3 linked regions of the Astyanax mexicanus genome follow. The protein of the gene in region 3 interacts with the protein of the main gene of each other region in a pairwise test. Links are inferred from orthologs where the notes say so. Each region holds a gene or a part of one and is shown on either strand. Other genes may lie near its edges.

The links. The genes of interacting proteins can lie anywhere in the genome.
Region 1: the proteins of wdyhv1 (region 3) and ribose-phosphate pyrophosphokinase 2 interact in binary tests that used the Homo sapiens proteins (3 or more experiments, as listed by UniProt). The two-hybrid records come from large-scale screens. The link is inferred for Astyanax mexicanus from reciprocal best matches to the Homo sapiens genes NTAQ1 and PRPS2.
Region 2: the proteins of wdyhv1 (region 3) and c24h1orf50 interact in binary tests that used the Homo sapiens proteins (3 or more experiments, as listed by UniProt). The two-hybrid records come from large-scale screens. The link is inferred for Astyanax mexicanus from reciprocal best matches to the Homo sapiens genes NTAQ1 and C1orf50.

What each region holds. Positions count from the first base shown.
Region 1 is NC_064428.1:22,490,890-22,497,988, forward strand, and holds the start of ribose-phosphate pyrophosphokinase 2, read right to left. Parts: upstream 3,002-7,099; 5' UTR 2,780-3,001; coding exon 2,658-2,779; intron 1-2,657. Other genes in the region: zgc:64002 (nicotinamide N-methyltransferase), read right to left, coding at 6,074-6,497. UniProt on the Homo sapiens protein: Catalyzes the synthesis of phosphoribosylpyrophosphate (PRPP) that is essential for nucleotide synthesis.
Region 2 is NC_064431.1:5,846,556-5,853,396, reverse strand, and holds the start of c24h1orf50 (uncharacterized protein C1orf50 homolog), read left to right. Parts: upstream 1-3,840; 5' UTR 3,841-4,042; coding exon 4,043-4,091; intron 4,092-5,819; coding exon 5,820-5,935; intron 5,936-6,021; coding exon 6,022-6,108; intron 6,109-6,222; coding exon 6,223-6,354; intron 6,355-6,841.
Region 3 is NC_064410.1:47,214,033-47,221,060, reverse strand, and holds the start of wdyhv1 (protein N-terminal glutamine amidohydrolase), read left to right. Parts: upstream 1-4,020; 5' UTR 4,021-4,155; coding exon 4,156-4,238; intron 4,239-6,789; coding exon 6,790-6,889; intron 6,890-6,994; coding exon 6,995-7,028. UniProt on the Homo sapiens protein: Mediates the side-chain deamidation of N-terminal glutamine residues to glutamate, an important step in N-end rule pathway of protein degradation.

The sequences.
Region 1 (7,099 bases), on a different chromosome or scaffold from region 3:
TACAGGTGAGAAAACAGACTTTATCTAAGACCCATTACACTACATGTTGAGGAAAAGAACAACGAACACAAACATAAAAAAATTATTCCAACTGTAAAACATGGTGGGGGAGCATTAAGGCATGTGGCTGCTTTACTGCCTCAGGACTGCCTGAATGCTTTGCAATCATTGAAAGAACAATTAATTCAAAAAGGCATCAAAATGTTTTAGAGGAGTAAATAAGACCAGCAATATATGACATCCATGATGTGGAAGCTTAAGAAAACAAGTTCTGACTACCATCAACGCCCATTTAGATACAGATGCATGACCTGAAGGAGAATGTTTTACCCACAATACATCCCAGAAATAAGGATCACTAATAAGGAACTGGTTGGGCTAAAAAATAACAAAGAACAGTAATTAAGCAGTTAACGCAACTATATATATATATATAGCTTGGCTCTTCAGTTTTTGGTGAGAATGTGTAATTGCACAGATTATGCTTAAAACATACTTTTTAAACATGCATTGTGGTGCAGTCACCATTCAGAATGAATAAATCTGGTAATTTTAGTGACAATTAGCAGCACAATGTTTGCTCATGAAAAGCAGCAAAAGCTGCCACAGCCAGAAAAAGGAACCTACCAGGCACCCTGTTTTTTAAATGAATAAATGTGTCTTTGCAGGAACAATGGCAGAAGCACACTGATGCCTTTTACTATATATTTTGCCCTCTCCCTACTCAGGAACACTACTGCTGCTATCAGTTTCATTACTAGAAGTATAGATACTAGGATTTAAAAATACTTGTGCAGAAGTTAATGTATCAACTCAAGTAAAAATGTAAATGTACTGGTCTCAAAACTACTTAAAACTACTTAAAACTTTTTAAGTATAAAAGCTACTACAGTAGCCTATAGTGCACCACCCTCCTCCCCCAAACACATTTTTCTAAAAGCTAGAACGACTGTTATGTTAAATTAAAATGTTAATCATGAAAGATTTGGCATGCACTAGGCTCCTAGTTAAACCACAGGTGTGATGGACGTAACAGGAGTTTTTAGCCTAAATGTATTTGTAATGAAATGTACAGTTGGGTCAGTGTCATTTAAGCACTGACAATATCCTTAATACACCTATATTGATGTATCGCCTAGCTTTAGCTATACAGTGGCTAAAAAAACAGTAACTAAGTAACATACACATACTAATAACTATATACTAATACAACCATTATTCATACTTTTACTGATATTAATAAAAAAAGAGAAAAGTTAATTTCCTGAAAACACAATTTGTTATGTTTTTATAATAGATATTTTTGTATTGTAAATTTATACTACCTCAACTATCAGTGCTACTTCTACATTTAAAACTAGAGAATTTTCTTTTCCTTTTTGTGTATTTTATACTGTATGTACTGTACTAAAATAGTATTATTTATTATTACTTTTACTTTCCAAAATATTATATTTTCATGTTGTAGTTTGTATTTTATATATTTAGGTATCATACTAAAATATATACTACTGCAACTATTACTACTACTTTTACTAATACAAAAAAAAATAGAAATTATATCTTAACTTTTTATCTTAGAATTTAAACTTTTAGGTATTGTACCGAAAACTATACCAATATAACAATTATTGATTCTTTCATTGAAATTAATATAAAATTTTCTGAAGAAATCACAATTTGCTATGTTTGTATTTTAGATTTGTATGTATTGCACCGAACATATACTACTGAAACTACTATTGCTATTTCTACTGATAAAACTAGAAAAGGTGCATTTTCTAAGGAAATCATATATTTTTTTTAATACTAAACTGTACTAAATAAAAATATATACTAGTACTACTTTTACTTGCCAAAATATTATATTTTCATGTCGCAGTTTGTATTTTATCTATATCCTTCTTTACAGTAGGATCTTTATTATCATTTTGTGTGGATTTATATTTTATATGTATGTTTTATATCTTATACATTCTACTACACATATGTATTATTCTGAAGAAAACATTTTAGTATTTAAAAGTTTTATGAATTGTTCCAAACTCTATACTAATACAATAATTAGTCCTATTTTTACTGACACTAATACAAATTAGAAAAGTTAATTTTCTGAAGTAGTCTGCTGTCGTTATGCTAAGCTAATGTTATTAGTTTTTAGCCCACTTAGCTAGTTAGCTTTGCAAATGTTACTGCTAGGCTGAAATGATAAACATGAAGCCTGGGCGACCCTTAAGCAGAGCTCACCGAGCAGATTTATAGTTAGTTAGCTAGCTAATTAGATATATTCACAGATAAACTAACTGAAATTGACTGGTTTGCTTTTAAAGAGCTTAAATTTGCAAACTACTAAAATTGTTACTGAAACTTCTGGCTATATCTAGTTAACCAGCTAAATGCTAAGGCTAGCTAACATCCTTTAGCTATAGCTACCAGGGGCTAGATAGCTAAAGCTGACTGTCTGTCTGGACTGTAAACACATGTGGGCGGGCAGAGGGGAAAAGTTAGCGTTAGCTACCAGAGCTAACTACTGAACTACCTGCCTACTGAACTTCATACAGACAGATGTTTAAAACCAGAGCGAGCGATCAATCTCCCCAGCTAATCAGTTAATAACAGTAAATGAAGCACTTATTATAAACATATCCGCCACCTACCAGGTCTCCTGATTACTGAACTTCTTAGTGATGACTTTCCCCAGATCCAGTCCGAGGCGGTCCGCCACCTTCTGGGACAGGTCGTGGTGAGAGCTCCCGCTGAAGAGCACGATGTTGGGCATGGCTGCAGCGCGGCGGCGGCGGTGCTGGAGGAGCTCAGGCGGAGAAAGAGAGCGCGCTGTGCGGACAGAGAGACGGACTTCGGCCGGGGAGGAGGAGGAGGAGGAGAGGAGAGGAGGAGGTGGAGGAGGACAGGTTAGAGATTAAAGTGATCTAAAACTGCAGCTCTGCATCCTAGATCTGCACGGAGTGAGAGACCGGGGCGAAAAGGAAATGACGAGCGAGCCCGTCACTCCAAAAGAGAACGAACAGGAGCAGGGGCGGGAGGGCCGGTGTTCTGTCGAGTTGTGCTACCCATCAAAATGTGCTTCTCAACACCTGTGCGCATGCGCGGAACCACTTTAGCAAGTTTACTTTTCTTTTTATACGGTAATTCTTTTCTATTTGGGTGAATTAAACAACCGAAACTCCTGTAATTATTTATGCGAGTTATTGCAAATGTGTAAATGATAGGTAATAATAATAATAATAATAATAATAATAATAATAATAATAATAATAATAATAATAATAATAATAAATGAGCAATGAAAAAACAAATAACAACAAAATACATAATATTATACACTATTCATATAAAACTGTATGTAAGTATTTAAAGTTTTGTTCTCAGGGACAGCTGATTCAGCACATCTGCAGAAGCAGAGAAATTTGCAAAGCTGTACTGAGCCATTAATTCAGAAACAGGCCAGCAGGTTTAGGTCTTTTTATTAGTTTAATTATAAATGTCTTCCTGGAAGTGATTTATGGATTAATTTTAAAGCAAGAAATAAGCACTGTTTTAGGTTTGTGACCTGTATGTGTCTCTTCTTTATACTTACAAGTACTAAACTGAATTGTTTCACCAGGAGAGTTTTGGATGAGAGACTGTGTTGGGTCTAGCTGTCGGTCGATAGCTGGACTGCATCCTTACCTAACCTGCTGTGATTCAGTGTTACAGAACTGGTCCCGTAGCCTCCAGCCCACCCTGTTGTGATTGTCCTGTTGGAGTCGCTGCTGTCAGAGTGTAAGCTGCATTGAGCACCGAGACGCCCAGCAGCCCATCAGCGCTGCAGAGTCGCCCTTTAGCCTGAGCTGCAACAGAGACATGAGACCAGGTTTTCTCATTTGCCTTTTGATACTTTATTTGTTTGTTTGTTTTTTTTCAGTACTTTTTTTCTGCTAAATTTATCTGGTGGTGGCTCAAAGGTTTGTCTTTCCATTTGGGAATAAAAAAGTGAGGTTTCTTCTATTTTAAAGTGTTTTCCAGCAAAAATTTAAAAGTTTATTTTATAATTAAATTCAGTTCATAATTTAAGTTGGAAAAATTAATAAATAGAGTAAGATATAAATTATTTACTTGCACTAAAATTAATGTATCCAGGAATCTTTGTCACTTACATGACTGTGCAAGTGTATAAGTCAACAAGCTTAGTCGAATTATAACATTTTATTTTTGCAGGTAATTTACAGATGCAAAGAATATATATTTAGAATATTTTTTTTACTTTTTCAAACTGAAAAAGTGAAAAGAATGGCCTTTAACAAATAACATTTAGCAATACCACTTCAGCCCATAGATTTAAAAAAAAAAACATTGCCATAGCAACCACATAGCCCTGTATTTGTCCATTATTAGTCAAGCATTGTTGAACAAACGGAAAACAAGTAATTTCCCTCTAAACGGTTTACAGAGGATGAGCACTGACTAGAGCAGGGGTGTCCAAACTTTTTTTTTTTGGGGGCCAGAAGGAGAAATATATTTGAAGTCACGGGCCACACTCTGTAATAAAACAAATAATGAATAATACCACTTTAAATAATACTTTTTTCCTGATTACTTTCATTTACACACCATTTTGCTTGACTTACTATCTTTGTCTTTGACAGTGTTGTGTAAACTAAGATTTTTCAAACTGATGTTTAATTTCATGATGTCTCTTAATATTAAACTATTTAATTACGGCAACTATGCGCACCCTCTCCGCTTTTAGACTCTTTGGCCCGTTTCTCTGCGCTAGAAATGCGCACTCTCTTCGCTTTTAGACTCTTTGGTCCCGTTTCTCTGCGCTATAAATGCGCACTCTCTCCGCTTTTAGACTCTTTGACCCGTTTCTCTGCGCTAGAAATGCGCACTCTCTTCGCTTTTAGACTCTTTGGTCCCGTTTCTCTGCGCTATAAATGCGCACTCTCTCCGCTTTTAGACTCTTTGACCCGTTTCTCTGCGCTTCATCTTCTAGTTTAAGAGAAGGTCTAACTCGTGTAATATTTTTTTAGATTAAAAAATGCTATTTAAATAACATTGTCAAAATAAAGTTTAAAAGGTAAACTAGCATCTAGCACTTTGTTCCTCTTGTTCTAGTAGGAACTGTGATGATGGCTAAAGCAGATTATGTGGAAATTCGGGGGACATTGATTTAGGACAAGAGGTAAAAAGTTTTTTTTTTTTTTAGATTTATGTATTTTCATAGAGTCTGCAGCAAAATTTATGAAAAAAGTTGGGAACTATGATTAACAATTCCCATTGGATGATGTAATTCTGAAAACAAAATGTTAAAATTAAACATTTTGTTTATGAATCTGCTTAGATACATGGTGGGCATAATGAGGCAGGGAGAGTCCGGTGTGTGGACACTAGTCATTAATCTCATAGCTTCTTAGGCATTATGTAGACCATTGTGAAATCTTGAATTAGGGTTGTGCCGATGGACTTTGACTGAACATAAATTTATTTTATTTCACTTTGCTATTATGTAACTGAAATTCACTTTTAATTTTTTTTTTTTTCATATCTAAAAAATAAAGCATCACCCTGGTATCTGATGCTGCACGTCAAGTATATAAAACATTTGAAATACAGATGATGGAGAATCATTGAAAAAAAATAAAACAAAACAGAATAGGCTTTTAAAGATTTTAATCGCAATTCTTTACATGTAACAAAATTAAGGAATAATGTAATCATAAAAGTGGTCTGTTATCTAAGGGCAACATCATGCCACAGAGGGCTGCTTATTGTTATCCTAAAGGCTAGAAGAACCTCTTTTATCATTTAACATTTAATAATTGAACATGTCTAATATTTTTGTAATTTGTTTGATTAGGTTCTCCTTATCTGGTTTTAGCACTTACATTTTAGGTCATATTTATGCAGAAATAAAAAGAAATCCAAAAGGCTGCAAATTGCACCACTTTTTGTCTATTATTTTGGATATTTTTATTGTTAAAGGTTATTTCACTTTAAATTGAAGAAAATTATGATGATAATCTCAAAAGTGTGTTGGTGGCAGTGACCGTTACAAAGGCAGGCCAACAGATCAGGAAGTTTTCAGAGCCACCAGCTGAAAAACAGCTTCATAATCGGACACCTCGTTGTTCTCTGGCTTGGGTCCAGAAAAGATTTCAAACTCATGAACAGTAAAGCCAACATCCTTGAGGTATTCTTTAATATTCTGCTCGGTTAGCGGCAGACAGGAGAAGCGGGTTTGGTTAACGACATAAAAACTCTCCCCTAAAACTCCCACCATCACTAGAGCTCCATTAGGACGAAGCAGTGAGGCCAGTCCAGCTAGCGCCTTTTTATACGCTTGCATGTCTTTGCAGGCCGCCTCAAGACACAGGGATGTTATCACGCAGTCTGCTGGCTTCAGGTTTTCAGGGTGGAATGGATTTTCCAGCCGGACGTCGCACTTCAGGATGTGTTTCACCCTTTGCCTTATTTTAGCTTCCACTTCTGATGGGCTGTAGGAAGAGTTTAACAGAACAGTTAGTTAGCTAGATAGATAAGTTAAGCTGGGAGTAAGCTGTTGACATTGGGCTTTTTTTAATCCCAATTTTTAGGTCTTAGGCTCTGTCCATAATTTTATGTATGTGGATAATTTTATAAATGGAAATTTTCCATTCACACTTGCATTGGCACGCTGGCCAGTGTGGAGCAATGATACTTTAGGAGCACCTCATAAATAAAGACATCAACACACCACAAAAAATATGTTTATCCCAAATTACACATTACTTTATTATTATTCAGGGCAATTTTGAGTATACAGTTAACCTGCTCTCCATGTTTTTGGACTTTAGGGGGAAAACCCACACAGGCAGAACATGGAAAGTGTCAGGAGATTTTGAGTTTATCCAGAAATATGTATTATGTATTGTGTCATCAGCACCATAACCAATACAGATCTGAAAAAAAAATAAGAGATCACTTATATGATGAGTTTTTTTAATTTTACCTTATTGAAAACCTCTGGAATATAATCAAGAGGAAGATGGATAATCACAAACCATCATACCAAGCTGGACTGCTTGAATTTTTGCACCAGGAGTAGCATAAAGTTATC
Region 2 (6,841 bases), on a different chromosome or scaffold from region 3:
TGGAGATCCTGAGCTCTGCTACTGCTGCAGACTGGAGTCACCACATCCACATCCACATCCACAGCTCTGCCCTGGATGGGGGAAGGTTTTGCTGGAGGTGGAGTCACTTCTGGAGCCACTGCTAACCCCCTGCCTGGTCCTGTTGATCCCCATCTACTGTAGGCCACATGCCCCCAGTAACTGTTGGAACTTTATAAGTGTGACTTTTTTCCCTACGTTGTAAAAAATTACTGAAGTCATCCAGACTGTGATGAAACACATAATAAATCATGTAGAAACTTATAGAAAAGTGTTAAACAAACCAAAAAGATAGATAGATAGATAGATAGATAGATAGATAGATAGATAGATAGATAGATAGATAGATAGACAGATACTTTATTTATCCCTAAGGAAATTAAGGCATCCAGCAGCAACCACACAATACAATAAGAAACATATTCAAATATAAATTAAAACAAAGAAGAATAGAAAATATATAAGGCTATGAAAAAAAACTTACTACACAAGGTAAATATATATCTGTAAACAGAACAGTGCAGTAGATGTTGCTAATGGTGATTAAATAATTAACAGAGCAAAGTGCAATGTGCAATGACATTGATTATGAAAGTGACTGATGTGACAGAGAAATATAATATAAATATGCATCTGTAACAAATATAGTTCTAAAAAGAGAATATAAAATGATCTAGGGAACTGTTAACTTGTGGTTTCTGATGCTGGTAACTCTGATGAACTTATCCTGTTGCAAACTCTTTCTCTTTCTTTCCTGGGGCTGTCCGGATGAGAGCCAGTTTCATCATAACAATTTTAACAGTCTTTTTGACTGCACTAGAGGATAGTCTATATCAACTCTACCTCTTCACAACTTTACAACTGATGTGCTTAAACACATTAAGAGGCAAGCAATTCAAGTAATAAAGTTTTGTCAAGTTCAGCACAGCTGTTAACTGAAAGCCATTCCAGGTATCTCATAAAGCTGACTGAGAAAATGTTCAAAGCTGTCATCTACTTTGAAGAATGTAAAATATAAAACATATTCTGGTTTGTTTAACACTTTTTTGTTTACTAAATAATTTAATGTGTGTATTTATAATTTTAATTACTTTATTATTAGTCCACAATGCAGAACATTTAAATAATGAAAAACCACTAAATTTAAGGTGTGTCTAAACTTTTGACTGGTCCTGTACATCCAGACTTCTTGATTGAAACAAAATGAATTAAATGATAAAATAACAGCACAATATTTCAGGGTATTTTTGTGATAATGATATTCTTTGCTAAATAAAAGCAATATATAAATTCATTTCAAGAATGTATCATTGCAACAAAATTAACATAAATATGTTTTTTTTTTATAAATATAACAGTCTATAATAATACTTATTTTTTATTACTTACTTATTTTTGCTGTCCACCACTGAAAATAATTAGATCTTCAACAGAGGCCATATAATTCCAAGGGACAAAATCAACCCCAACCCAATCACTTCACACACTCCCATTTGGCAAATATAGGGCTGCCATGTTACTGAATAGCTAATATCCCCAGGCCATTCGATTTTTAAACGACTCCCAAACAGTGACCCTCCCCATAACAACACCTTTACTTACAACTGGCAAGGAATGTGGTGGCTTTTCTCTGCAACACCACCCCCACATCCCTATTTCCTCAGATGGCTGCTATAAATGAGAATAATCATACTGGTTTAAGTTGACAGGAAGGGTACTTTGTGTATATCATTTATATAACCACCCTGTACTACTGTGTTGAGCAGCTCAGTGACTCTACAGTGTCAATGATTATAAGCAAAATTATAAAAAAGCTATAAACTATCAAACCAAAAATGATTCATTTAGTTTTTCTTGGATCTAATGTCATGTCTGAGGTAGATTATACTGGTAACCACTGTAAAATGAGTGTCACTGACTGTATCAACATTTTGTGTTTTTACAATGTGTTTACACCTTGTAACCAGCTTTAATTTAAATTTACTACAGAGAAATTGCACAGCACATGGGCCTTAGATAGGCCCCTAAAAGGATTAAGGTGGGTTGTAATTTCTGGGCCCATTTCTGAAGAATTGAATGAAAGTACATTACATTCTTAAATGCACTCAGGTAAAAAAAAAAGTAAATATTAGAATGAAAGAAATATATTATATCAACAAATTATTAATTCCAAATTTATGAAAAACAAAAAAAAAAACATTAATACACTATTCAATTTAAGATACATTTAATTGAAGTATACACAATGCATATCCATATACTTTTGTCAACTTTAAGCATGTGTATACCCCAAACGTTTTATTGTAAGGTATTTTTTAAAGACATTAATTAAAAATAAGTTCAAAAAAGGAATAATAAATCGAATAAATTCCTCTGTAAAAAATAACTACATTTCCCAGCAACCCATTGCGGTTTCCGTCTTTTTCAACTGCCTGATCGAGTATTCTTATGATTTACTAGAATAAACATTTTCTCACATTTAAAGCACTTGTAAAGCTTTACAAAATATCTAAATAAGTTTAAAGACAAAAAATATAACATATAGCTACATTTACCTAAATCAGTGACTACTTTTTTCAGTCACTTATAAAATCGCTTAGATTTCTAGACAGGCACTCTGAGAGAAGGAGGCGGTAAGGACCTCTAAAAACGCCCCTTTAGAGCTGGTTTATAAGGAGACTGTCCACCTTATATCTCCGCCGTAATATCAGAAAATGACTGGAACCGCTAGAGGGAGCCTTCGAAGGAGTTCAAAATAAATGGGGTGAATGGAGCTAATCGGCTAAAACCTTCAAATTAAAAATAGTAACTAACTACTTGGCCAGGATTTTACTTTAGTTGGGGAAAGTATCTTTAATTATTTTGCAAGGAAAGCTAAGAAATCTTACCTGTATATTTTTGTTTTTCTACAGCAAAAGGGTTTTAGATAGTAAAGGTGGTAGCATTACTGCTAATATGAGCTAAACCCTAAACCATATTTTTTCATTAATAGATGAAAGAAGAAATGTGTTCCTTTGAAGCTTTAAAAATGCTTTCCGCCTCTGCAGAATATTTAATGGCATTTTTGCCATAACAATACACTTGGCGAAATGACAAAACACTGAATTAGAAAAATAAAACATTCCAAAAAATACATCACTGCAACAAAATGAAAATTAAATTGTATTATTGCATACAATATAATATGGTACACCCCTAACTGAGATAATAAAGAATACAAGAATTTTATCAGGTTTTTAACAGAGGTCAATGATGCAGAATGTCATGATACTAATAATGCACTCCAAATATCTCCATATGTAATGGATAACGAGAACATTGTGCTTTTTTTTTTTTTTGCTAAAAACAGTAAAAAAAGTAGTAGCCTAATGTGATGATTAGGGGAGGGTCATTATTCTAAGATACGTTATTTTGAGATAGCAAGTCATTATTTTGAGATACTAAGTATTTTTTTTTTAGATACTAAGTATTTTAAAAAAAAAATAGTGAGTCATTATTTTGAGATAGCTAGTATGTTTGCTTTGGGAAAAAAACGTTTTTTTCTTTCAAAATAATGACTTACTATCACAAAAAAATTAAATACTATCAACAAAATAATGAGAAAGTATCACAAAATAATGAGATAGTATCTCAAAATAATGAGATAGTATCTCAAAATAATAACCTAATATCTCAAAATAATAAGATAGCAATTTCCTTAATAATCATTTTAAAATGTGCTGGATTATTTTTTTTTAGGTGGCGGCAATGGGCTTCCGTACTCTCGAGCGCCCTCTGCTGAAAATCCCTGGAGAGATTCTGAAGTGGGTAATCTCCTCTATTAGAGAATCTGTGGCCTCTGTGCGGCTCTCGGCGTGTTTTACCGAATCAGGAGTTATTGAGCAGTTATGAAACTTCAGTAACCGAACAGTTACAAAACAGAGGCACTAAACTATCGCACAGCGATCCTCCGCCTCTGCACAGAGAAAACAGAGACACTAAACTACCTCTCAGCACAGCGATCCTCCTTTTCTGCACAGAGAACATGGATAAAACAGTGAGTTTACCCGATCAGCCCAACAAAACCACCACAGGTAAGATCCACAGATCAGCTCTGATCACAGCTGTAACCTGTATTAATATTCAGTAATGCTAATATCCAGCTGCTCAGTTCAACCAGGCAGTTCTGGAATAAACAGTACACGTGTCTCTTTAATACAGAGTAGAGTAGCTCTGATTTTCTGTCTAATAGAAAAGCCTGTCTTACTTGCTATATAACCCTACTAGTGCATCTCTAAATATTAGAATATCATTGAAAAGTTACTTTATTTCAGTAATTCTGTTCAAAATGTAAAATTCATATATTATATTGATGTATTATACACAGATTGATCTATTTTAAGCTTTTTTTTATTTAATTGTTGGTGATTATGTTTTACAGTCAATGAAATTAAACCCCCAAAAAAAACCAAAAATCAGTGCTTTAGAAAATTAAAGTATTATATAAGATCAATTGGTACTTTAGGCAGTGTGGGCAGTGTGCCAAGTCCTGCTGGAAAATAAAATCCGCATCGCCATAAAAGTTGTCAGCAGAGGGAAGCAAGAAGTGCTGTAATGCTGCCTCCAAGTCGTCTCCAAGTCGGGAAAAATGGTATTTACGAGATGAGAGCACACCACAAACTCGTATTTACCAGCTGAAAAACTCGGATTTTCCAAATGGGGGCATGTCAGTAACAACAGGTCAATAAATTGATGCAGACAGTTCATATCGTGAACTGCTTACACTTCTGTTATTGCTACAACACTTCAACTTTTGCAGGTTGTTATAAGCTAACTAATAAAAATCACTAGCATTACGTAATTAAAGGTAAAAATGGGATAAAAACATCTTTCATCTAATGTGTGTCTTAAGCCCTATCCGGACGAGATAAGTTTCTCAGGGGGTTCTGGGGTAATTTTCTCTTTTATTGGGGTCTTCTGTGATTTTATTCCCATCCAGAGCGACCATGTATGTTTTTTTTTTCCAAAGTTCTCTGAGAAAATTACAGTCTGAATTATCTACTGTATTTCACTGAACTCCATAGTCCTCCGCTAATTTTAGTCCACATCTCTGGGTTTCGTCACCTCGCGTTTTATAAAATAGCTATTTGTCCACTGCCGCGCACCGTAATTACACTTTGAGAACGCGTTTCCACGGAGATCCACGTAAACACAACAGCGAGTGGAAATGGAGGAGCTACTGAACGTGATGTCGTGACAAAGAAAGCCAAAAAACTCACTGGTCATTCTGTTTTTTTTTTAATTGCAGTCTGGATACAAGAGTTTTATCACTGAGTAGAAGTGTGAAATACATTCTCTTAGAGTAGGGCAAAATAAATCTAGTTTATTAATATAATAGACCAAAATTTTTAACATAAGTATTTTCCTAATGGCGTCCATTTGCACCTGACCTTTTCCGGGAAAACACTGCACTGGCTTTGGACTTTGGACCTGATTTTTGACACAGATTTTTGGGATTTAATTGGCTGTAAGCCATAACCATCAACAATAAAAGAAATAAGCACTTAAAATAGACCACTCTGTGTGTAATACATCTATATAATATACAAGTTTCACATTTTCAGCTGAATTGCTGAAAACTTTCAATAAGCCCAAAAACATGAATATTATTAAATAAATCTAATTTATTCATAAAAATCTACCAGGTAGTAGTTTATTCATAAAATATATCACATTGTTACTAAATGTATCAAATTTAGAATTTTTAAAATCATTACACAGCTTAAAAATGGTTTTAATATTCGATATGTTTAATGTTTCAGTCACTTTGGTGGAAACCAACAGCAATCCAAGTGGAATGGTTCTGGTTAACACCTACATGACCAATCGAGTCGGAGATCCAATGGACCTTGTTGCTTTGGCGCAGCACGTTCAGAAGGTAAGCAGTGCTTTCAGAGAAAATCTCCTCAATCATACATCACTTTTTCGTCTGTTGTTTAATGTGTTGTTGTTTCTTTTTCCCAGGGTGATGAATTTGTCAGAGCTAACGCTTGTAACAGGTTGACCGTGATTGCTGACCAAATAAGGTACCTGCAGGAACAAGCCAGAAAGGTGATAAAAAAAAATAATTTCTTTGCTTTGATTTATGTTTGTATTTCTGCTACATATGGTCCATTTTAAAGGGTAAAAAATATGGTAAAAGAGCTGAGATTTTTTACATTTTAGGTTTTGGAAGATGCTAAGAGAGATGCTGACCTCCATCACGCAGCCTGCAATGTTGTGAAGAAGCCAGGAAACATGTACTACCTGTACATGCGTGAATCTGGACAGCGCTACTTTTCTATTTTGTCTCCAAAGGTAAGAGTACAAAAATGTGTGTGTATATACACTGACTTGAAAACACCCAAACCTGTATTTGTGAGGTGTTATCTTGTTAGTGAGGCTGAACATTGACCAGCGTGCTCATGGAATTGGAGTGGATGTCATTTCTGAAGAAGGCCGTTTAAGGCCGTTTTCACACTGTACCCAGGACCGATTCTGGGCTTGTTTGGGGGAGGAGCTTATTATTGCTGGTTGGTTTTCACTAGGGGTGGGCGATATGTCCTTAAAATAATATCACGATATTTCATGGTATTATTGCGTTAATGATATTCTTGGCGACATGACAAAATACTGAATTAAAAAAAAAAAAAACATTTCAAAAGTACACTTCTGCAACAATGGCACACCCCTAACTGAGATATAAAAAAAAATACAAGGATTTTTTTAGATTTGTAACAGAAGTCAACGATCCAGACCGTCATGATACTAATAATGCACTTCAAATATCTCAGTATATTCAGGA
Region 3 (7,028 bases):
AAAGCTGTCCTGCTTTACTTCATTTCAGAAATCTTGTAGAATGGTTGTAGAATGTGTAGAATGTTTTTCCCCAGATGTTTGTTTTTACTTCAGTTTGCAGGGAGAGATTATTATCTCTGGTCACAGAGCGGCCCGTTTTAGCATTTTCCAGCTTTAATCAATGTGCTTAAAAGTCTAAAATGTGCATGAAATGACACAATTGTCCAGTACTATTGCATAAATTTATTCATTCATTTATATTTGTATTTTTTTTTAAATACATCAGATCATCATCATGTCTGAGAAGGTACTAAAAGTCATTGATCCAATGGGACAAGAAAGTGCCCTAGAAAGAAAAATTCTAAGGAACTGGAGGTAAGATTTTCAGACACATTCCTTTATTAAATACATTGGCACTATCAGATTGGAAGCCACACTGATAACATGCAACTCCAAAAAATTGAAGGAATTTTTTGAAGACTCTGGATCACAAGGACCACAGAGCTGAATGGCGGGTGCTGCCAATGCAGCACAATGTGCAGCAAGACTCCAGCAGCTGTGGAGTATTGGTGTTGAAGGTACATATTATTTTTTGTGTTACTATAATTATGATTGTCAAGTAAATTGTATGAAAAACAATTTTATCATTTCATAACAATGTTATTCTTAAATTTTAGTTTTCTGAAGATTTTCTTCTGAGTGGAGATGTCCGCACACTTCAGACAACACCAGGAGCTGTGAGCAGTGCACGCATGCAAATAGCATGTTCTTTGCTTGAATGCCGTGGTGAGTTTTAGAGTAATGCCGTTTCCATTCTGTAATAAAATGTTCCAACCTGTTGAATTGATCCAGGATGTACATTCTGATAAGGTAATTTAGTTTATAAATCTATGCTACCTACAGCGCTGATGCTGGTAGAACATTCTGATAAGGTAATCTAGTATGTAAAATCACTGATCCTGTAGTATCTTCTGATCATTTATATGCATTGTACTGTTGTCAAATGATTGGCTGCTCAGATTATTACATAATATACACATCTGCATAATGGAGTGCCTTGGCATTTAACCAGGTAAATATTTTTAATAGGGAACGCTGAGGACTACTGCATAATTTGTTCCATGCTGGAAAGTGATGCCGACAAGAGCGTAATCGAAATGGTAATTTTTTTCATGCCAGTAAACTGTATTTAAATCAACACGTCCATTTTTTTGCTTCAGAATAAGTTGTCACACACAGTTCAAGGTCTTAACAGAACAAGGCTAAGGGACAGAGACTATAGGGTTATTTATGCAGGGATTGTTAATGTGTTCTACTTTAATATAAATATAATGTTGTCATAATTTGACAGTTTCATCACAATGGTGAAACTGTCCATATTGGACACTCCAGCATTTTCTTTTGTTCAACTGCACTGTTTTGATTAATGATTTGTGGTTTATTTTCAGGTGCAGTGTGAGCTCTGCAGTAGGTGGGCACACTTTGAGTGTGCACAGTATAACAAGGGAAACAATTACTACTGTACAAAATGTTCAAACAATTAAACTCCCTCTCTCCCTCCCTCTCCCCCCCCTCTCTTCCTCTCCCTCTCCCCCCTCCCCCCTCTCCCCCCTCCCATTTTATTCCACTAAATACGGATTTCTGAACTCTTAAAACATTAATTGTTGAACTTGTTTTCTTTGCATTATTTGAGGTCTAAAAGCCCTGCATCTTTATTTTGTTATTCTGATGATTTCTCTATTTCTACATTTAAATGTTCTAAATGATATTTTTGTTGTGGTTGTTGGAATTTGAGAGAAATGTTGTCAGTAGTTCAGAATAAAACAATGTTAATTTTACTCAAACATTAACCTATAAATAGCAAAATCAGAGAAACTGAACATTTTGAAGTGGTCTCTTGATTTTTTTTGGTAGAACCATAAGGTATTTTGGTCTATAAATCTATCCTACCTACAGTGTAAATGCTGGAAGCACATTCTGATAAGGTAATTTAGTCTATAAATCTATCCTACCTGCAGTACTGATACTGGTAGCGCATTCTGATAAGGTAATTTAGTCTATAAATCTATCCTACCTGCAGTACTGATACTGGTAGCGCATTCTGATAAGGTAATTTAGTCTATAAATCTATCCTACCTGCAGTACTGATACTGGAAGCACAATCTGATAAGGTAATTTAGTCTACAAATCTATCCTACCTACAGTGTAAATGCTGGTAGCACATTCTGATAAGGTAATTTAGTCTACAAATCTATCCTACCTGCAGTACTGATACTGGTAGCACATTCTGATAAGGTAATTTAGTCTATAAATCTATCCTACCTACAGTGTAAATGCTGGTAGCGCATTCTGATAAGGTAATTTAGTCTATAAATCTATCCTACCTGCAGTACTGATACTGGTAGCACATTCTGATAAGGTAATTTAGTCTATAAATCTATCCTACCTACAGTGTAAATGCTGGTAGCACATTCTGATAAGGTAATTTAGTCTATACATCTATCCTACCTACAGTGTAAATGCTGGTAGCGCATTCTGATAAGGTAATTTAGTCTATAAATCTATCCTACCTGCAGTACTGATACTGGTAGCACATTCTGATAAGGTAATTTAGTCTATAAATCTATCCTACCTACAGTGTAAATGCTGGTAGCGCATTCTGATAAGGTAATTTAGTCTATAAATCTATCCTACCTACAGTGTAAATGCTGGTAGCGCATTCTGATAAGGTAATTTAGTCTATAAATCTATCCTACCTACAGTGTAAATGCTGGTAGCGCATTCTGATAAGGTAATTTAGTCTATAAATCTATCCTACCTACAGTGTAAATGCTGGTAGCGCATTCTGATAAGGTAATTTAGTCTATAAATCTATCCTACCTACAGTGTAAATGCTGGTAGCGCATTCTGATAAGGTAATTTAGTCTATAAATCTATCCTACCTACAGTGTAAATGCTGGTAGCGCATTCTGATAAGGTAATTTAGTCTATAAATCTATCCTACCTACAGTGTAAATGCTGGTAGCGCATTCTGATAAGGTAATTTAGTCTATAAATCTATCCTACCTACAGTGTAAATGCTGGTAGCGCATTCTGATAAGGTAATTTAGTCTATAAATCTATCCTACCTGCAGTACTGATACTGGTAGCACAATCTGATAAGGTAATTTAGTCTATAAATCTATCCTACCTGCAGTACTGATACTGGTAGCACATTCTGATAAGGTAATTTAGTCTATAAATCTGTCCTACCTACAGTGTAAATGCTGGTAGCACATTCTGATAAGGTAATTTAGTCTATAAATCTATCCTACCTGCAGTACTGATACTGGTAGCACATTCTGATAAGGTAATTTAGTCTATAAATCTGTCCTACCTACAGTGTAAATGCTGGTAGCGCATTCTGATAAGGTAATTTAGTCTATAAATCTATCCTACCTGCAGTACTGATACTGGTAGCACATTCTGATAAGGTAATTTAGTCTATAAATCTGTCCTACCTACAGTGTAAATGCTGGTAGCGCATTCTGATAAGGTAATTTAGTCTATAAATCTATCCTACCTACAGTGTAAATGCTGGTAGCACAATCTGATAAGGTAATTTAGTCTATAAATCTATCCTACCTGCAGTACTGATACTGGTAGCACATTCTGATAAGGTAATTTAGTCTATAAATCTATCCTACCTACAGTGTAAATGCTGGAAGCACATTCTGATAAGGTAATTTAGTCTATAAATCTATCCTACCTACAGTGTAAATGCTGGTAGCGCATTCTGATAAGGTAATTTAGTCTATAAATCTATCCTACCTGCAGTACTGATACTAGTAACGCATTCTGATAAGGTAATTTCGTCACTGGAGTAAGCAGAAAGGGTAAAAAACACGTGCTTTATTACTTTATAGGCGAGTTACTGCCCCTTTAAGAAATGCGCTGTGCGGTAGGACATTTCGACGCGGTAGCACAATCCGACAGCTATGTCTATAAAAATGCGCTACGGTAGCACAATCTGATAAGGTAGCACAGATTTTCAGAACACCGGACTAAAGAACTGTAGCACACTGTGTACAGATGGGCTGGGCGGCTGTATATGTGTTTGTTAAGGAGTTTTCTCTGTTTATAATGATCATCTCCGATCAGTAGTGTTTAATTTAGTGTAATATAAGCGCTGAGAACATGGTAGAAGAGGAGGGCGCGTCTCCAGAATACACAGTGATCGCTCCGCCGCGGCAGGAATGTGTGTATACGAGCTGCTACTGGTACTGATCTCTCTCACACTCATTTTCTCATTCATTCAGTCATTCAGACGCTAATTCACTAACAATAACTGTGAATTATCGCTGTGGGACTGGAGAAAGCTGACAGTTAAATGCTCTGCATTGTTTATATTACTGAGGTACTTCACCTGAATTAGCTTTTCAATCTGCAAAACTTCGAGTTACATTTTTTTTTCTAATGCATTTTAATCCCAACGTGATTTTAATGTTGTCTGATAATCCCTATCAAATCAATTATATTTAGCTTAGTGAGCATAAATGTATTACATTTATTAAAGTTATTAAGGCCATGCTCTCTAGAGATGAAAACTAATAAATGATTATAAATAAATGAATAAGTCTTAAACAATTTTTCATTTGTTTTGATTAGTCTTCATTTTGTTTTGTTTAGAAAACAAACAGGATTTTTATTTTTTATTTTTTTATCTTTCCTGATTATATACACCGTATACAATGTGTTACAAATATACTGATATTAAATATAATGTAATATAATGATTTTCTTATGAAAAAACATAATTAACTTAATTAGTTCTTGTTGGGAATATTGTTAGAAAACAGACAATTTTGTGTTAATGTTGTATGTTTGCTGAGTTAAGTGTTGGCTCTATATTTTGCAGAATATCTTAAAAGGCTTTTTATCTTTTAGTTTTCAGTAATGGGTTCATGGGTGAACATTTAAATACCCAAACCTAATGAAATATATTTTTCATTACTAAATGTTTATTTGTATGCATCATTAATTCAAAACATCCTAAAGCACTCAGTATAGAACACATTTAACTGACAGCAGTTAACTAACAGGCTCTACTTACAAAGCATTATTAAAATTAACGGGAAATTAAACCACAGGTAAACATAAGTATTGATTTCAAAATATATCAGGAATGTAAAAAATGTAAAATTTATTACTGAAAATAAAGGCGACGAGTCAGCATACAGAGAGGAGGTGCAGCGGCTGACAGACTGGTGTACAGTCAACAACCTTCACCTGAATGTGGACAAGACAAAGGAAATGGTTGTTGACTTCAGGAGAGCACAACACACCCACTCTCCACTCAACATCGACGGGTCCTCTGTGGAGATTGTTAAGAGCACCAAGTTCCTTGGTGTCCACTTAGCAGATAACCTCACCTGGACCCTGAACACCAGCTCTACAGCCAAGAAAGCCCAGCAGCGTCTCTACTTCCTCCGGAAGCTGAGAAAGGCCCGTCTCCCTCCACCCATCCTCACACTCTTCTATAGAGGGACCATTGAGAGCATCTTGAGCAGCTGCATCACTGCCTGGTTTGGGACCTGCACCGTCTCTGACCGCAAGACCCTCCAGCGTATTGTGAGGACAGCTGAGAGGATCATCGGCGTCTCTCTCCCCTCCATCACGGACATTTACACCACCCGCAGCATCCGCAAAGCAACCAGCATTGTGAATGACCCCACTCATCCCTCACACGAACTATTCTCCCTCCTGCCTTCGGGAAGAAGGTACCGCAGCATCCGGTCCAGCACGACCAGATTCTGCAACAGCTTCTACCCCCAAGCCATCAGACTCCTTAACTGCAGAGACTGAACTGATGGTTTTTCTGTACATGCACACACACTCTTACCCCACTTACCCCAGAAAATGGAAAGCACTAAAAACCCTACTACCTCACTGGACTCTATTGCACACTGTGTAATAGAGTAATTACTACCTCACCTGGTCTTTTTTGCACACTGCAAAATTTGCACACTGTCTTGTTATTTATTATTCTTTGTCTGTATTGTGTTGTATTGTCTGTCTGCACTTTTGTACTGTTGCACTATTGTTCTGTCTACACTGTGTTTATGTGCACCATGGTCCTTGGAGGAAAGTTGTTTCGTTTCACTGTGTACTCTGTATATAGCTGAAATGACCAAAAAAAAAACACTTTGACTTTGAAGTGCATGTGATATCAGTATTTCTTATAAAGGAAATTATTTTAAAAACTCTCTTTAAATGTATCGTAATATTTCTTGCTGTGGAATATGCTGTTGTAAAGAAATAACTTATGTATAACTTTTATGTTATTAAATGTATTTTCAGCAATGGTCGCAAAGTCCATTTTTATATCTTATAAAGAGTGTTAGTTCTTACAGAGAGGCTTTATTCTTGAACATTATGTATCTGTGGATGTGGCAGTGCCAACTTGTTCTTTTTTCAATTTTTCAATTACTTAGGCTGTTAATATGCATTATGCATAGTCTCAAATATATGTTGATGCAAAAACCTTGTCTCTCTGTTTTTGCCATGTTTCTCTTTTTGAAACTGTAAATTTAGCAGGTGTTATGTTAATTCCAGATTCCATGATAAATGGACCAGTATAAATGCTCCAAAATTACTTGAAATATTTGATTGAAATATTTGATGTTTTACATTAACTCCATTGAATGTCTTGTGTAAAGTTTTAATGATTGAGATACACATTTTATTTTCTGGACAGCGATGATGTGTATGTTGTCATGTCATTTGTGTGTCTGCTATTAACTTAGTGAAAGTCTTTGTTTTATTCTACAGTGAGGAGAATGTTTGGAAATTGTGTGAATATATTAAGGACCAGGAGACCTGTCCAGTGGATGAGGTGTATGCAGTTTTTATATCCAATGAAAAAAGAACTGTGAGTGCTCTGTTAAAATGTAATGAGAGTATATAACTGAGGCTGTTTGTGTTTTTTTTTTTACTGTTTTGATATTGGTTTTGTTGTACTTGTTCTGTTTTGCAGATCCCTATTTGGAAACAAAAAGCCAGTAGGGGAG